2 linked regions of the Stegostoma tigrinum genome follow. The protein of the gene in region 1 interacts with the protein of each later gene in a biochemical or structural test. Links are inferred from orthologs where the notes say so. Each region holds a gene or a part of one and is shown on either strand. Other genes may lie near its edges.

What was found.
Region 2: the proteins of rc3h2 (region 1) and klhl6 form a complex in vitro, tested with the Homo sapiens proteins (2 studies listed by BioGRID, with this or other methods). The link is inferred for Stegostoma tigrinum from reciprocal best matches to the Homo sapiens genes RC3H2 and KLHL6.

What each region holds. Positions count from the first base shown.
Region 1 is NC_081382.1:22,885,790-22,894,314, forward strand, and holds the start of rc3h2 (roquin-2), read left to right. Parts: upstream 1-4,967; 5' UTR 4,968-5,420; intron 5,421-5,659; exon of another isoform or gene 5,660-6,154; intron 6,155-8,525. UniProt on the Homo sapiens protein: Post-transcriptional repressor of mRNAs containing a conserved stem loop motif, called constitutive decay element (CDE), which is often located in the 3'-UTR, as in HMGXB3, ICOS, IER3, NFKBID, NFKBIZ, PPP1R10, TNF and in many more mRNAs.
Region 2 is NC_081367.1:10,819,077-10,827,749, reverse strand, and holds the start of klhl6 (kelch-like protein 6), read left to right. Parts: upstream 1-5,315; 5' UTR 5,316-5,350; coding exon 5,351-5,610; intron 5,611-8,673. UniProt on the Homo sapiens protein: Involved in B-lymphocyte antigen receptor signaling and germinal center formation.

The sequences.
Region 1 (8,525 bases):
CTGTACTAGTTATTGGGTGTAATACATGCTGTAACAGTACTTTCACAGGATTTTCTTCTGATATATCTTCTGCAGTTTTGTGACTTTTGAAAAGAACCTAAAAGAAATCGAAAAAGGACAGGACTTGGTATGGCATTGAGTAATGTACAGCAGGGGACTGCAGACTTGCAATGTAACTTAATGTCTTTCTCACATTCTTAAGGAGATGCAGCAAAATCTCAAAAGTAGGCAGAACCTCAAACTCTGTGTCCTATTCTGACAGACCTGGCAAGGTCGCCAAATGCAGTGGTTGCTACTCCAACTTGAAAAGATTCTTGATGTTGATTGGTCTTTTCTCAGTAATGTTTTTCTTTATGCTGTGCACTAACTTGTTCTGCATAAAGAAGTGTGAGAGTTAGTGCCTGTCTGCTAGAGAAAAGAACACAATTGTAGAGCTTCTCTTGTTGTAAAGGTGCTGAAAGTAATTGGATTCAGAATGAAAAATTATGTCTTAAGTTTGATGCGAGGAAGGGAAAGTGAGAATACTGTGTGCTGTGAATGAAGCAAGGAAAATGTGTTTTCAAGTGAGTAGTGGTATGGTGTGGATTTCTGTTGGGTGACAATGAATGTGATGGTGGGTGTGAATAATGAATTCAAAAAAAATATAAAGAATATTTACCATTGTCATTCTTCTGAGGTGCTTTTTGCACTCTACCAATTATGGGAGTGATATTCCCAGAAGTCATAATCTTGGCAGTGAATCCATACACTTGATGTTTGTATCTTCATTGAGTTGGATGGAAAAGAATTATTCTCCATAACTTCATGTTTTGCAGTGGGACAGTCAAGACAATTTCGATGTACAAGCAACAGTGCAATCTGAATCACTTTCTCTCTCTGCAATTCCACTGCAAAATCAATCAGAAAGGAGTGCAATCTTGCTCCGAGAGGGACATCCTACTTTAAATAGCCTCTGGTTGATGTCTTAGAAGTTCTGCTGACAAGATGCATAGGTTAATTAACAAATCTGGTAGGAAATTTGACTGTAAGGCTGCCCATGAGGTACATTATCCCATGTCTGTTTGCTAGTCAGCAATAAATTCAGCAGCTACCCATCAACTACTTTATCTTGGGTTAAATATATTTGACGCAATGCGCAGAATTTTCCCTTCCTGAACTGGCATGGTCAAAGTTGAGAAAGTGCAAGTTGAACAAATACAGTAAGCATTTTAAAAATTTGAATCTCAACATCAAGAAAACATATTCCCAATTTTCCGATTAACGTTTAAAGAATGTCCCCATTGAGTGGTGACTACCTTATTTCAATGTATTTACATCTCATTAAACATCCCAACCTACCATTCTTTGCCACTAGTAATTCTCTCCTTTTCCAAGAAACCAGACAACCTAAATTCCTGACTTGTAAATCACAGCAGGTACCTCGCTGCAGCTTGCCAAATGCAGTCCCTGCCTTCATCTAACTCTGGGGTCTTCATCACATTAAGCCACCGTGGTCCATGGACACCATCTTCCTGCAAGGACATGTAGGACTTGCATGCTTCTGTAAGGTTGCTTTACACACAGGGACATTTCATGCATCTAAACAGGAAACATATTATGGATTCTTAGCTTTACTTTAATGCTTATCTAATTTATGCTTACTTGGAAGCCGTCAATCTCTCTGCATTACGTTTTAGCACAAAGGCTACCTGTTTTTCCTAATCACATTTGGGGAATACTGAACAGCCAAGGGGATGGACATATCACTGTACAATGCCAAGCTATGTCAGTATCATACATATATCGTGTGCCAGCAGCTTAAGCAGCTGCATGTGCTTCAATCAAATGTCCGCTAGTGAAAGGGGAGTAGTCCTCAGTGAAATCAAAGATGACTTTAGTCAGGCAGGGGTGCTGCAACATTCAGTGAGGGTCCTCTGGTGACATCAGGGAAGGATTGAGTACGATGAAAGAGTAGTTACTGGTCAGGCAGAATTGGGAGAAATGGTGAGGTGTTCCCAGTGAGCAAGTATGAAGCACAATAGGCAGATATGGTTTGTAGTTTTGGATTATGAAGTGGATGAGAGCTGTTAAGTGGACCTTATTCATGTAATTATGAGAGCTGTCGTCTGCAAGTCTTGATGAGATGTGTGTGGAGTGCTAGTATTCGATTGACTGGTGAACCTGTGAATCAGAGAAATGATGGTGGGACCTACTCATAATGTGCAGATAATTGTTAGCCTTTACCGTGCAATAACATGCATTCCTTTTCACTTACAACACAGCAGTGACTTGAATCATTATCCGTGTCATGGTTATTGTTTCTGGTGTTGTGGTCTCCTGTAATGACAAGATAAAGTTCTGCTGTCTTCTCCATCATTCCAACCACCAGCAGCTTTGGGTTCCTTATACACAGCAGGGAGCTAACTTGCCGCCTTGGACCATTTCACCACTGATAATATTGGAGGCACAGCCATTTGAGGGACAGCTCCTGTCTTGCAGCATCTTAGGTGCTGTGCAGATGGGCTCTAAATATGACGCTGGCAGTCTGAATGTTAAACGATATCAACAGTGGCAAACACTTTCACCTCTCCTAATTGCATAAGAAAAGTACCAAAGAATCCATTTGCACATGTAAGGAGGTGAAGAGTGGAAGGTTGTACGAGATACAGTGTGGGACAATTCAGGGCTATTTTTGTTTCTTTACTTGAAAAACAAAGATTATGTTTTCATTCAAAAATATATCTTAGTCAGAATTTTGTCTATTTTGTTCATGTCCACTCTGCCAATTATAGTAGATTTGATGGGCCAAATGGCCTTACTTCCACTCCTATGTCTTGTGGTCTAATTGGATGAGGTCTGTGTGTGAGGCATCTCTTTTGTGGAGCCATACCAGAATTTTCTTGTGAAATATCATTCACCAAAATGACTTGTCATAGCCTCCTGAGTTGATTTAAGCCAATTAAAATTCAGCTACCACCATCATCCAAATAAAGGGTCAGCAGTAAACTGCTTTGGTACAAGACGACTTTCCAAACAGGTATGTGGTACACCAAACTGATCAACCTGGCTTCTGACATTGATCGACCAAGGAAAGTTTAGTGGCAATAATCCCAATTTTAGAAATAATTTTGTCAACTTCTTAGCACTGCATTAGCTGGCTATCAAATAGTCTCACCAGCTGAGGTTACTATGTGGGACTGTCCTTCCCAGCCCTTCTTGCCTGAGGCGTGGTGACTCGCAGGTTAAACCACCACCACCACCAGTCACTTTTTTTCTAATGAAAGAGCAGCCTATGGTCCTCTAAGACTATGGTGACCTTCCTTTGGGCTTTGCCTATCCACCCTTCCATAATTAGTTACTTTGATGAAGGGTGTAGGCCCGAAACGTCAGCTTTTGTGCTCCTGAGATGCTGCTTGGCCTGCTGTGTTCATCCAGCCTCACATTTTATTATCTTGGAATCTCCAGCATCTGCAGTTCCCATTATCTCTCATAATTAGTTACAGATTGGTTGAGACTTTTAAACAAATTTTCCACTTTCCTTACAGATCCATACTCCCACATTAGTTTAAATCATTTATTGTGCTAGAAGATCACATAATTGGAAGCATAATGTGTTAAAGCCTGTGCAAAGAAATTTTGCACAGTATGCTGTGCTGAGACTTGTATTAATGCCCCTTGAGAGGACAGCAGGTGGTAACCTATTTCTCATCTTTCATTTCTTGACTGTATGCAAATAAGATTGATATTTAATGGTGACTCTAAAATAAATCATAAAACATGAATGGTTTAGACTATTTTCTGAAACAAGACTTACTATCTTGAAACAACTCATTACATGCTATTTGATTTTCTTTTTCTTCATTATACTTTATTATGTTTCTGCGTTGGCAGCAGGTGCAAGTTGACACCAACAACTCAGCACACCAAATGTCATCCTGCACATGGGTTATTTATGATACAATTATTATGCATAAATAATGTAGTTGATTACTGTATAATACTGGTAATATTGTGATGTTTCAGTTATTTCACATTTTCTGTCAAGATTTACACACTTGATACTGCAAAGAACGTTGTAATTTAATCTATTGGGTTACAAATTTAATAGATACCATAAATTAACAGTAACCTTTAAAAGTAGTATCATGCATCACAAAAAGAAAGTACTGGAGAAACTCCAATAACAAGGTGTAGAGCTGGATGAACACAGCAGGCCAAGCAGCATCAGAGGAGCAGGAAAGCTGACGTTTCGGGTCAGGGACCTTCAAAAATTTCTGATGTAGCTAGGCTCGAAACATCAGCCTTCCTGCTCCTCGGCCTGCTGTGTTCATCCAGCTCTACACCTTGTTACCTCAGATTCTCCAACATCTGCAGTTCCTACTATCACTGGAGAAACTCAAGTCTGCCACATCTGTGGAGAGAAAACAAGAGTTAACTGCAGTTCTGGCGAAGGATCACTAGATGCGAAAAGTTAGCTGTTGTTCTCTCCACAGACCTACTGCGTTTCTCCAGCACTATGTGGTATTTACTTTGCAGCGTTGGCGCACGTTTTGCTTTGGTGATTTTTGAAAGTGCCTCGGCTAGATAATAACACCACCTAACCCTAACCCCTGACCCTTGGGAGGTGCAAGCAATTTTTTTTAATGATATGCACCCTCTTGACTTTCTCCAAACACAGTATGTGTGCTTGATTACACAACTACGTGAGTCAACTTTGGCCCTTCTTCTCAGCGTGTCAACACAATTCACTTAAGGTGGTCGTTGCAGAGAAAAGAAAACAACCCAAGTTTGGGTGGGGAGTACGTTTGCTGTCTGCTCTGGCCATGGGTAAGACGATGTGAAATCCGTCATCTTGTCGGCCTTACCCCTTCGAGCCCCACTCAAACCGTCACCGTCGCCTCCGCCTCAAAAAAGCGGCTCGTTCCGGCTTGACCGTTCCACACCGCCACATCCTTCCGCGACACGGAAAAGTAGTGCCCGGCGAAACGATGAGACGCAGGGCGACCGAGGGCGCGTGGGGGCGGGGTGAGAGGAAGAGAAACAACCGACAAGTCGTGGCAATAAAAAAAAAGGCAACCAGGAAAGGGGTGGAAAAGAAGAAAAGATTAAAGCCCAGGAATTGAATGATGGGGATCCTCCCGTACCTTAGAAGCCGAGTGTTTGTTGTGAGGAGAGACCGTTGCGCGGAGGGATACACGGCAGAGATACTCCCTTCCTGTTAAGGTCTCCCTAACGGGGAGTCGCCACGATCCGGTGCAAAATGTCGGAATCGGAGCAGCGCTGCACCGCCAACGACTCGACCTTCCATCGGCTTTTATGACCCGCGGTTAAGCCGCTGTTTACATGTATCCATTAATTGCTTCTGTGAAGTTAACTTATTAAAGTTTTTCTTTCTTCGATGGAAAGATGGATGTTACTTCTTCTTAGTGCCTACAGAAAAGGTAAAGAGTTTTTACTCCTTCACCACCAACCTCCCTTCCTCCCCCGGGCCGCCCGTGCTTTTTACGGGGAGCAGCTGTCAAAGACAACCGAACGTGTTGCCTGTAGCCCTTGTTAGCCACACCCTCCGGACCTGCCGATTGGTGTTTGGCAAATCCTTCGTCCGAAGTTACCATTGCGATTGGCTGGGGCCCCTGTCAATTATTGCTGGCCGCGATGAGGGTGGGAGGAAAGCCTGTCAGGTTAGGTTGAGGTGCGGATCCTTTCGTTGTGTTGAGGCGAGGCAGCTTTAACCCGCTGTCATTTGTATCTCGGCACCAAGGCAGCGCCGAATAAATGTGACACCCGGAGAATTTGCGGTTGAGGCGAACGACTGGGCTTGACCCGGCGCCCTTCCGCAGCCGGAGCTGGCTTCCCCGACACACGATGACAAGTGTAATCGCCATGTTTTCCCGAAGTATCAGTGCTGTGAGGCTGTGGGTGTGTTGTGCTGTCCTGACACAAGTCTGATGGAGAAAGGGACCAGGCTTTTGGAGGCATCGTAGGCATTTTTAAAAATCATCTTCTCGGCCTCAAGCTCTGTGACATGCGCCTTGCCCGATCACGCAGCCCTATTTCGGCGCTCAGGGAATCAGGTGTTTTAAACGGCTGCCTCCCCTAGCAATGCACGAGATTTTCTGTAATCAGGAACGTTTTGACACTCCCTTGTCCCCTCCGAAAAAAAACACCGTTCTAGGTTTGTGATTTACTTTAGAATTAACATTAAAACGTCGCCTTCTTATAGTTGCTATTTGTTTCCATTGAGTGCATATAATTGCGCAATAAGCGCGCACAAATCTGCAATCAGCATTGCCCTATCTGGCACTTCATACAGTGGTTGGCCGTGTCATTTCTGCTTTTCCATTTATTTCTTAAATCGGGTTGGTTAGACACAATGACAAGTTTTACATCACAGACTTAAAAAAAACTACATTCACTCTAATATATTTGTTGCTGATTATTACAATAGTCGCAGATGACCTGACTCGATGCTTCCTTCACGTAAAGTCACACCCTTCCTATGTTTGAATGTAAGAAGCGTCTCTCTGCAAGACCTGCTCTGTTCGATTAGACTAGATTCCCTACAGTGTTAGTGTCAAGTCAACTTGACCAACTTAAAGCAATCGTATTTTATATAGGTAACCTAAATACAACTGACAGCACAATGTTGCTAGTTCACGATTAGTCAAAACACAACCTTGACTTGGAAGTATATTGGTTTTCCTTCACTTTTGCTGGTTCAGAATCCTGGAACAATTCTATCAACTGCACAGTAGCTATCCTCCCAGCCCAAGAACCGCAGCGGTTCAAGGAAACAGCTCACAGCCACCTCTTCTAGGACAATTAGAAATGAGCAGAGTGCTGGCCAAGCCATTCCCATGAATGAATTTATACAAAAAGGATGTAATCATACAGTTGCTTTGGATATCTAATCTTGGAGCTGGTCACATTCATGATATGTACAATACATTAAGTAGAAAAAACATTTAAAAAAAAATATACAGCTTGTAATAAATAGATTTGGTTATTGGGTGAATGTGAAAGCTAATGAAAGTTCTTCATTGGTCTGTGTTTAATTTTTGTTCTCTGTTCAAGTCATAATTGCTTTGTGACTAGTAAGTAGTTAGATGCATTTTTACATTGGTACATAATTGAAAGTTGCAATTTGGCAGATTTCTTGTCTTTCTGTTAACAAATACTAAATTTGGAAGCAATTATATTTCTTTAGAAGGTGTTCTCAGATTTGGGTATTACTGATAGGATTAGCATTTCTTGTTCATCCATTGTTACCTTGAAAAGGTAGTGATTCAATGCCTTCTTCAACTGCTGAATATTTATACTTGAGTGATACTTCAGAGTGGCTTGCTTGGCTATTTTTGAGACCCCTACATTTTTGGGAAACTAGACTGTGTGTAAAAATGGAAGACTTTCTTTTCATAAACAATAGTGAACCAGGTGGGTTTTCACAAAAATCTAACAGCATAGTTGATTTATTTTAATCTTTTTATTTCAAGATATTTGAAACTTTCTTTGTTATGCATTCATCAGATGAAGACTACTGGCTATGCCAGCATTTATTATCCAACCCAGTTGGACAGTTAAGAGCCACCCACATTGCTGTGGGTTTGCAGTGACATGTAGACCTGATCAGAAAACGATTGCAGACTCCTGAAGGATATTAATGAACCACATGGGATTTTCCAACAGTTGACAATAGATTCATGGTCAGTAGATTCTTAATTCCAGATTTTGTTTTTGAATCCAGAACATTGCCTATGTCTCTGACTTCATAGTCCAGTGGTAATAGTCGTGGCCATTGCCTCTCCTGAATTAAAATTCCTAAATTACATTTGATGGATCTGAATTTGCATACACTGGTTCTTGCTGAAGCTTCTGGATTACTGGTTCAGTAATGTAACTGCAATGCAACCAAACTCTGTTTCAAGTGAATTAATTTGTTTTATAGTAATCCATATATCCATATATAGTTATTAGGAACGAGGGTAGGCATTAGGCCCTTTGAGCCTGCCGTGCAGTAAGATCAGGGTTAATATGGTTGTGGTCTCAATGGTTGTCCTCTTATCCTAACACTTTACTCACTTGTCTCAAGTTTATCTGACTTGGCCTTAAACAAATTTATTGACTGAGTCTCTTCTTGTTTTCTCTCTAGGGAAGAGCATTTCACATTAATAACTTTCCAAGAGAAAAGAATATTCTCCTCTTCTTAAAAGGGAGGTGTCTTAAACTGTGTCCATTGTTTCTAGTTTCCCCACAACAGGAAACATCTTCCTAGTATCCGTCCAATATCTTGCACGTTTTAATGAGATTATTCTTCTAAGTCTAATGGGTTTGGACCCAACTTGTTCAACCTTTCTTCATAAGATCAATCATCGAATTCAATCTCATTGAAAATGAAATCTAGTAATAATTATACTAAGGCAAAATGACTAGAGCATTACATAATAACTTTATTTGATGAACAATCCTGACAAATGCGATAGGCAAAATTATCTACCAACTGTAGCTGGGGACAATACAAAACATTGTTGTCACAGATTAAAAATATT
Region 2 (8,673 bases), on another chromosome or scaffold:
AAATGCTACACTTGTTCCCACACCTCCTCCCTCACCCCTATCGCAGGCCCCAAGATGACATTCCACATTAAGCAGAGGTTCACCTGCACATCTGCCAATGTGATATACTGCATCCATTGTACCCAGTGCGGCTTCCTCTACATTGGGGAAACCAAGCGGAGGCTTGGAGACCGCTTTGCAGAACACCTCCGCTCAGTTCGCAACAAACAACTGCACCTCCCAGTCGCAAACCATTTCCACTCCCCCTCCCATTCTCTAGATGACATGTCCATCATGGGCCTCCTGCACTGCCACAATGATGCCACCCGAAGGTTGCAGGAACAGCAACTCATATTCCGCCTGGGAACCCTGCAGCCCAATGGTATCAATGTGGACTTCACCAGTTTAAAAATCTCCCCTCCCCTACTGCATCCCTAAACCAGCCTAGTTCGCCCCCTCCCCCCACTGCACCACACAACCAGCCCAGCTCTTCCCCACCACCCACTGCCTCCCAAAATCAGTCCAACCTGTCTCTGCCTCCCTAACCGGTTCTTCCTCTCACCCATCCCTTCCTCCCACACCAAGCCGCACCCCCAGCTACCTACTAATCTCATCCCACCTCCTTGACCTGTCCGTCTTCCCTGGACTGACCTATCCCCTCCCTACCTCCCCACCTATACTCTCTCCACCTATCTTCTTTACTCTCCATCTTCGGCCCGCCTCCCCCTCTCTCCCTATTTATTCCAGAACCCTCACCCCATCCCCCTCTCTGATGAAGGGCCTAGGCCCGAACCGTCAGCTTTTGTGCTCCTGAGATGCTGCTTGTCCTGCTGTGTTCATCCAGCCTCACATTTTATTATCTTGGATTCTCCAGCATCTGCAGTTCCCATTATCTCTAATACAAAAGGGTAATTTATTTAACTATGCTTTTTAGAAATGTGCTGTGCACAAGCAAGCCACAGTGGTTATTAGAGATAGTAGGAACTGCAGATGCTGGAGAATCTGAGATAACAAGATGTAGAGCTGGATGAACACAGCAGGCCAAGCAGCATCAGAGGAGCAGGAAGGCTGATGTTTTGGGCTAGATCCTTCTTCAGAAATAGACCCTTCTGAAGAAATAGACCTTTCCAAAATGTCAGCCTTCCTGCTCCTCTGATGCTGCCTGCCCTGCTGGGTTCATCCAGCTCTACACACTGGTTGTTATATTGCAACACTTCCGAAGTATGTCAGTCAATGTGAATGCTTTTGGGTAGATATCCTGAGATAGTAAACGTGCTATACAAATGCATGCTCTTTCTTTCAGATGACAGTCAACGTCTGTGGTTGCACATAAATCAAAATAGGTCACACATGTGGAACACCTATGCTCAGTTCGCGACAAACGCACCTCCCAGTTGCGAACCATTTCAACTCCCCCTCCCACTCCTTAGACAACATGTCCATCTTGGGCCTCCTCCAGTGGCACAATGATGCTACCCAAAGGTTGCAGGAACGGCATCTCATATTTCGTTTGGGAACCCTGCAGCCCAATGGTATCAATGTGGACTTCACAAGCTTCAAAATGTCCCCTCCCTGAATGCATCCCAAAACCAGCCCAGTTCATCCCCGCCTCCCTAACCTGTCCGACCTTCCTCCCACTTATCCACTCCTCCCACCTCAAGCCCCATCCCCACCTCCTAACTACCAGCCTCAGCCGGCCTCCTTGACCTGTCCATCCTCTCTGGATTGACCTATCCCCACCCTAGCTCCCCACTTACACTCACCTTTTCTGGCTCCATCCCCGCCCCTTTGATCTGTCTGTCTCCTCTCCATCTATTTTCTCCTCTATCCATCTTCGATCCGCTTCCCCCTCTCTCCCTATTTATTTCAGAATCTCCTTCCCCTCCCCCATTTCTGAAGAAGGGTCTAGGCCCGAAACGCCAGCATTCCTGCTCCTCTGATGCTGCTTGGCCTGCTGTGTTCATCCAGCTCTACACCTTGTTATCTCAAAACACATTCAGCTCTGTTCTAGCTGGAGTCAGTTCCCCCCCAGGGATGTGAGGGAGGGAATGGGAGGGTTAGTTAAAGATAATGATTTTGTGCAACACAATATTCTGAAGTAATGGAGGGAAAACGCACCATCATGTAGCCTTCCACAAATGTGACAATGATGATGTGTTATATGTTTAAGGAAAAAGTAAAGCTTGTCAAAAACATTTTAACAATGATTGAGCTTATAAATTCAAACCCTAGCCCCCAGCCCCAGGAAGGACAAGAATTGTCCATTATATCCTGAGATTTAGACTCTTATTCCGGCTTTGGTAGATGAATGTTGAGCAAAGGTTTTAAGATGTCCCATCGGAAAAGGCATAACTGAGGGGAAGGGGATTAATCTCAAAGTGAGATGGATATCTGTAATAGTTAGTGGAGCAGATCATTCTGTGGAACAATAGGCCCACTTCTCCAAACAGGACAGAGGAGGGCGGAGCTTAAAGTGAACTTCCTCTGATGCAAAATAACAACAGATCCAATGACCTGGAAAACAGCCAGAATATTAAGTGACTCTAAGAAGAGTGCTAAATTGAACTAATTGTGTGCATTTATACAGGGATATACACACACACACACACACACACACAAACACGACAATTTTTTGTCAATTTAAATCGGCTAACCAATGTAGGGAAGTGGGGAATGGTGTGTACGAGCCTTTGCGTGTGAAGTGAATTAATATCAGCAGCGATATGGTGATTAACTTATAATATCTGTTGGTTTTCCTGTTCCCCTATTGACTGGATCTTGACCTGAATTAACACATTCCAAATTTTTCCCTGAAAGTCAGCAAGTTCCAAAATCTGGCATGGCCTCAGTACTGAGGCAGAGGGATTTCGGAGAGAGTACCTTTTGTATGAGCACTGTCCTAATAGTTTTATCTTTTATCATTCTGGGAGTCTTAGTGTGTACTCAATCAAGCCACTATATTCTTCCTGAGGTGCAGTGCTCCTAGACTAAACACAATACTCCGGAAGAAAACTGATCAAGAGCCTGTAACTGTTGCACAACTTCCTTATTTTAATATTGTGACATGCTTAAAATAAACCAGATTGCTTTCATAGAATCATAGAATCCCCACAGTGTGGAAACAGGCCCTTCGGCCCAGTCCATACCGAACCTCAAAGCATCTCACCCAGACCCACCCCGCTATAACCCACCTGAACACTATGGGCAATTTAACATGGCCAAACCACCAAGCGTCTCTACCTTTTGCAGGCAACATTGAACACACAGAACATTCAAACACTCGCAGTTGTTTACTTAGCAATAATTGCCTTCAAAAAATGTATGGGGCATCGTGGAGATGATCTAGTGAATGAACTGGATTGACAGACCTGATGCAAATTTGCTGTCAAAGTTCATCAGATCACTCCCTGCACTCTGCATTGGAAATACAGAGCAGACCAATAAAGTAGGGGTTTGTAAATGCTTGATAAGTTTCATCTGCCCTGCATTTGGATAGCTGGCACTCAAGTTTCTGGCGTGGCCCATGGAATTGTTCACACTTTTACACAAATTGGAAATGGCCTTGCAATTGACAACCTCCCTGGGAAAGGTCAGAGGATAGACTATTGCAGCAGGCGGTGCTAATCTGACACTGAGGTTGGATTGAAGTTGAATTGCTGCTATTGATAACTTGCCACATCTTGTTATAACACTGTAGTGGAAGATTTACTCTATATCTGACCTGTGCTGTTTCTCACCTGGGAATGCTTCACGGAACAGTTTCTACTCTGTAGCCAACTGTGATGCATATGACCTGAGAATTTCTCAATTTTACAGTCAGCTTTACTCTGTCTCTAACTTATCCTTGTTTTAGCAACACATGACGAGACAGGATAAGGGAGTTTTATTTTATGTCGACCTTGGCTGTAACTGCCCAGGGAGTGTTTGATGCGACCGTACAAGAGATTTGCACTGTAATTAAGACTGGAAATGTTTGTTGACACAGTGTAGAGGAAGCTTCACTCAACACCCAATCTGTGGTTCTTAACTTGGGACAGTTTGATAGGGTTCAAGGGTTAAAAAGTGAAAAAATGCTCTATTTGAGTTGACATCCTATAACCCAAAAAGCATCATTTGTAAACTTGCCTCACTTTATTCCAGTGATTATATTTAGTCTGTGGATGTTGGTATGTTCGTCGAGCTGGGAGGTTTGATAGCAAACGTTTCATCCCCTTACAAGGTGATATCCTCAACCAACGTCTACAGCCAACAGCCGAAGCTACAATCTTCACTCAAATCCAGAACTATATTCAGTCTGCGCTGATTGTCTCAGGAGACTGCAATATTACACTACAGTTACATATAATGAGAATGCTTAATCCTGATTCCCTATCAGCCTGACGACTGTGTTTCAACGGGATCCATTGCCCTGTCTATTGGTCACACTTGCTGCACTAGATCCCCTCATCCTAAGACCATAAGACATAGGAGTGGAAGTAAGGCCATTTGGCCCATCAAGTCCACTCCACCATTTAAATCATGGCTGATGGGCATTTCAACACCACTTCCCTGCACTCCCCCCCCCCCCCCCCCCCCCACTCCGTAGCCCTTGATTCCTTTTGAGATCAAGAATTTGTCGATCTCTGCCTTGAAGGCATCCAACGTCCCGGCCTCCACTGCACTCTGCGGCAATGAATTCCATAAGCCCACCACCCTCTGGCGGCAGTGATATAGCTTTGCACTAGGGTTAGAATTTGTGAACTCACTGCGAGAGGCAGTGTTTGCACTTTGCAACACAATGTATGAACTTTCCAAGCCCATAGCATCAAACATCAACAAGCACCATTATCCTCCAGGAGAGATGGTGGAACATTAAAGGAATTGCGTGATGGAAAATCATCGCTGTCTTGTTGTGGACCTGCCAGAAAACATCTTATTCTGGGGAAGGCATCCCTCAGATTGGAACTGACTGTCGCATTGAGGATTCAGATCAGACACGCTCATCTTCCAAACCCTTGCTTTGCCTCTTACACCCAATGGCTATAAACGTTCTGATATTATTGGAGCTGTATCCAGTGAAGTAACTTTCAGCTCTCTGTACAGCAGAAAGGAAACTTGAAAGAGGTGCAAAAACATTTTATTATGATCATTCGATGGGCTAACAACTCCACATCAGTACAGGCAGGGGGTGAGGGGGGCAGGGGAGGATGGCGAAGAAGGAAAAAAATACGAGAAAGTGTTGCTCTTCCTGTTCTGCATATGTGTTGGTCTCTGATAAGAAGCGAGTCATGAGCAGGAAATCCGTCAAAGGGCAACATTACAACTGACTGTGAAACCTCAAAACGCTGCATCAGCCTGTGAGGAGTGGAGCAACCAGGCAGGAGTATGCGAAATGGCTGTTGTAGTGGAGAGCAGCAGCGACAAGGGCTCGAGCTGCCAGGCTGGGAAACATACCTGGGCTGTTGAGGGGCTGACAGAAAGCTCGTCAGACGGGACAGTGACTTTCAACGACACCGGCTTCTCCACTATCCTGCAGGGTGGCCTGGATGACCTCCGGCTGGACAGCTCCCTCACGGATGTTGTCCTGTGTGTGGATGACAGAGAGTTTTCCTGTCACCGGGTTGTGTTGGCAGCTGCCAGCAGTTACTTCAGGTAGGCCGAAAGCATCATTTCTTTGTTTATGTGCCAAGACTGTTGGATATTTCCTTCGGCCCAGCATCGGTGACTGTACCTTCAGTTGTCTAGGCCTGAAGTCCTGACTTCCATCTCTTAAACTCCTTTGCCTCTCCTCTGTGGACCTTTAAAAAGCTCCTTCAGACCTCCTTGTTTGACCAAACATCTGCTCACTGGCCCTAATATCTCCTTTGTGTCAACACAATTATCTGTGTCTGATAATTCCCTTGTGGGGAGTCCAAGTCTTTTTTTAACTGTATTGGAGACACTGCATAAAGGCAATTTGTTGATATTCAAGTTAAATCTTGCCATGGATATTCCACGACAATCATTTCTTTGGGACGACGCTAATTTCTGCCCAACGTTTGAATAGTTCCCGAGTTTGAGAATGTCTTTGCCAGCAACAACTTGCATTGAAATAGCACCTTTAATGTATCATCACAGCAGAATAATAGGATGGAAAAATGACACCAAGTCGGAAACAAAGGCCCAAAGCAAAGCATAGTTACAGTGATGGAGAGGTATGTTTTAAGTAGCATCTTAAGGGAGAAAGAATAGACAAAGAGCTTTGAAGGTGGTGCTGAAGCCTGTAAACCAATAAAGAGATAAAGAAATATACAGTAATAGTGCTCCAAAACCTCACTGTTCTGTGGCCAATCATTTTTACTCAAAGAAACTCTGTACCTGTCTTTCTGTTCACTGTTTAAGTGCCACAGCTGACAAATAGGAATGGCTTCAGTTATTAGTTTGTTCCTGATGTCTCAGTGTGGTATCCTATTGCTGATCTGTGATTATTGGAGCAAAACATTAGGGAAATGTGAGGATGAGCAAACATTGTCAACTTTGTGCCTCCCGAACAGGAAACAATTAAAAAAATTCATTCATTTTCATTGATTCGTTCATTTACTTGCATTTATTAGCCACGGACATTTTTAAATACCAAAGGAAAGACCCAGGAATATGCCCAAATAAAGTTGGCTACTCAATATGTGAGACAAATCACGGGCCCATTTAAAGATGCAAAAGATTGTGGGGAGTGGGCCCCTAAGATGACACAGTGTGGAGCTGGAGGAACACAGCAGGCCAGGCAGCATCAGAGGAGCAGGAAAGTTGACACTTCGGGTCGGGACCCTTCTTCAGAAATGGAGATGGGAGCTCGGAAATAAATACAGATGGTCCTGACCTGAAACGTCGACTTTCCTGCTCTTCTGATGCTGCCTGGCCTGCTGTGTTCGTCCAGCTCCATACTATGACTCCAATATCAGCCTCTGAGCCCCTAAGAAAATATGTCTTTGGCTATAGATATCAAGCTGATAGACTGACACATCTTTTCATCGCATGCAGTGTGTTGTGCTTTTACTTTAAATTTATAAAGACATAAACCATCTAACAAATTTATACATCATCAGAACTTTCAAAAGCACTAAAAAGCCAATGAGGTACTTTTGAAATGTCATCAGTGTTGGTATATATGCAGACGAAGTAGCCAATCTGTGCACAGAAAGATCACACAGGCAGCATCATTGCCACCTGTCCCTTGAATTGAAGATGACGTCAATGTATGATTGTGTGTTTCCAGCATGGGTCCCAATATGATTCACAGGCCAATTCTCAACCTACAGATCTTTGGGTACATTGGTTGGATGAGGCAGTGGGATCTGGGGTGCAGGATTTGCTTTCTTTTCTTTCCTTCTCTGCCATTACGTCACTTCGTCATTAATGTTTTCAGGCAAAAATGTGATCAAACTTGATAGAAAGATTGTTGCCATTTTGAACATATGGAAGCAATCTCCTCCCGGTCACTGATGTCAGTGATGCTGTTCCTCAAGGAGAGTTTCGGAGAGTCTTTATAGTGTGTTCTTTCCCCTTCCCTGGAACATTGACCATTCAGTAGTTGAGAAGACGGGACCCAGCAGGCGAGATAATTTCAGCCATCCACTGGACACTGAGCTCAATTCTTCACCGCTAATCTTGCTGGGGTTTCTTCTGAATGTTTGTGGAACTGGCTTCAAGAAGGACAGTAGTATTTCTTTCATAGACCTCCCATTTAATCAGGTGTATGCAGCAGAGTCTTTATTGATGGAATGTCCAGGTCCCTTGCAGCACAGAAATGTGTTGATGACAGCTGGTCCATTCATATAGACGTTTGTTAACTTGCATAGATCTTCATTGCCGATAAAACATAGGCAGCAATGTGATAATGACTGATTAATTCACTGTTGAGGGATTAACTTTGGCTTTGTGTTTTATGGAATAAATAGCAATAGCAAGTTACAGATTTCTCCCAAATTTTTGCTTGGGGACGTGTTAAAATTAGCGACTGAATCAATGACACCAATTTTACACAGAAGTCACTCTTGGTGGAGATTGAGGGATGAACATTGGTCAGGGCATCTGGAAGATACCTTTGATCTTCAAGTTGCTATAGTTCATGTGAAAGTGAGCATTTCCAATAATGTTCTTTCTCTTTGTCTTACACTGAACCAACAGGTTAGATTATGTCAACAAACCTGGACTGGGTCTTAAACCCCTTATCATTTGACTCAGAGCCAAGTAGTGCCACAAAATAATTCTTTACATGGAACTCTCAGCAGGTTATTGTGGGGTGAATGTTGATTGGTGAGTAATTCCCTGTGGGATACTATGTGGGTTAGAGACCCCAAGTAGTCATTGTCTGGGGGATAGTAACAGCTCAATGGTACCCCGTGACCAGATCCTTAACGCAAATGTCTCCCATGCCCAATGGAACAAGCATCGCAAATCACTGGAACCTCCCAACAATACCAAAAGACTCTGAAAGATGTAAAACCTATTTATGGTGTAGTCCATACCAAAGAATTTTTGAATTGACTAGAAGAAAATTCAAGTCATGGCGAATGTAAATTCACACTGTGGAGCCGTGTCCCAGAACTCATATTTGTTAGCATCTCCTGTGGCCGATTCCTGTCCATGGGAAACCATCTGAGAAGGAGTATAACCTGACTTCTCGACACCATCATCAGTCCAGGACCAGGCCCATCACTTCATTAGATAGGATTATAG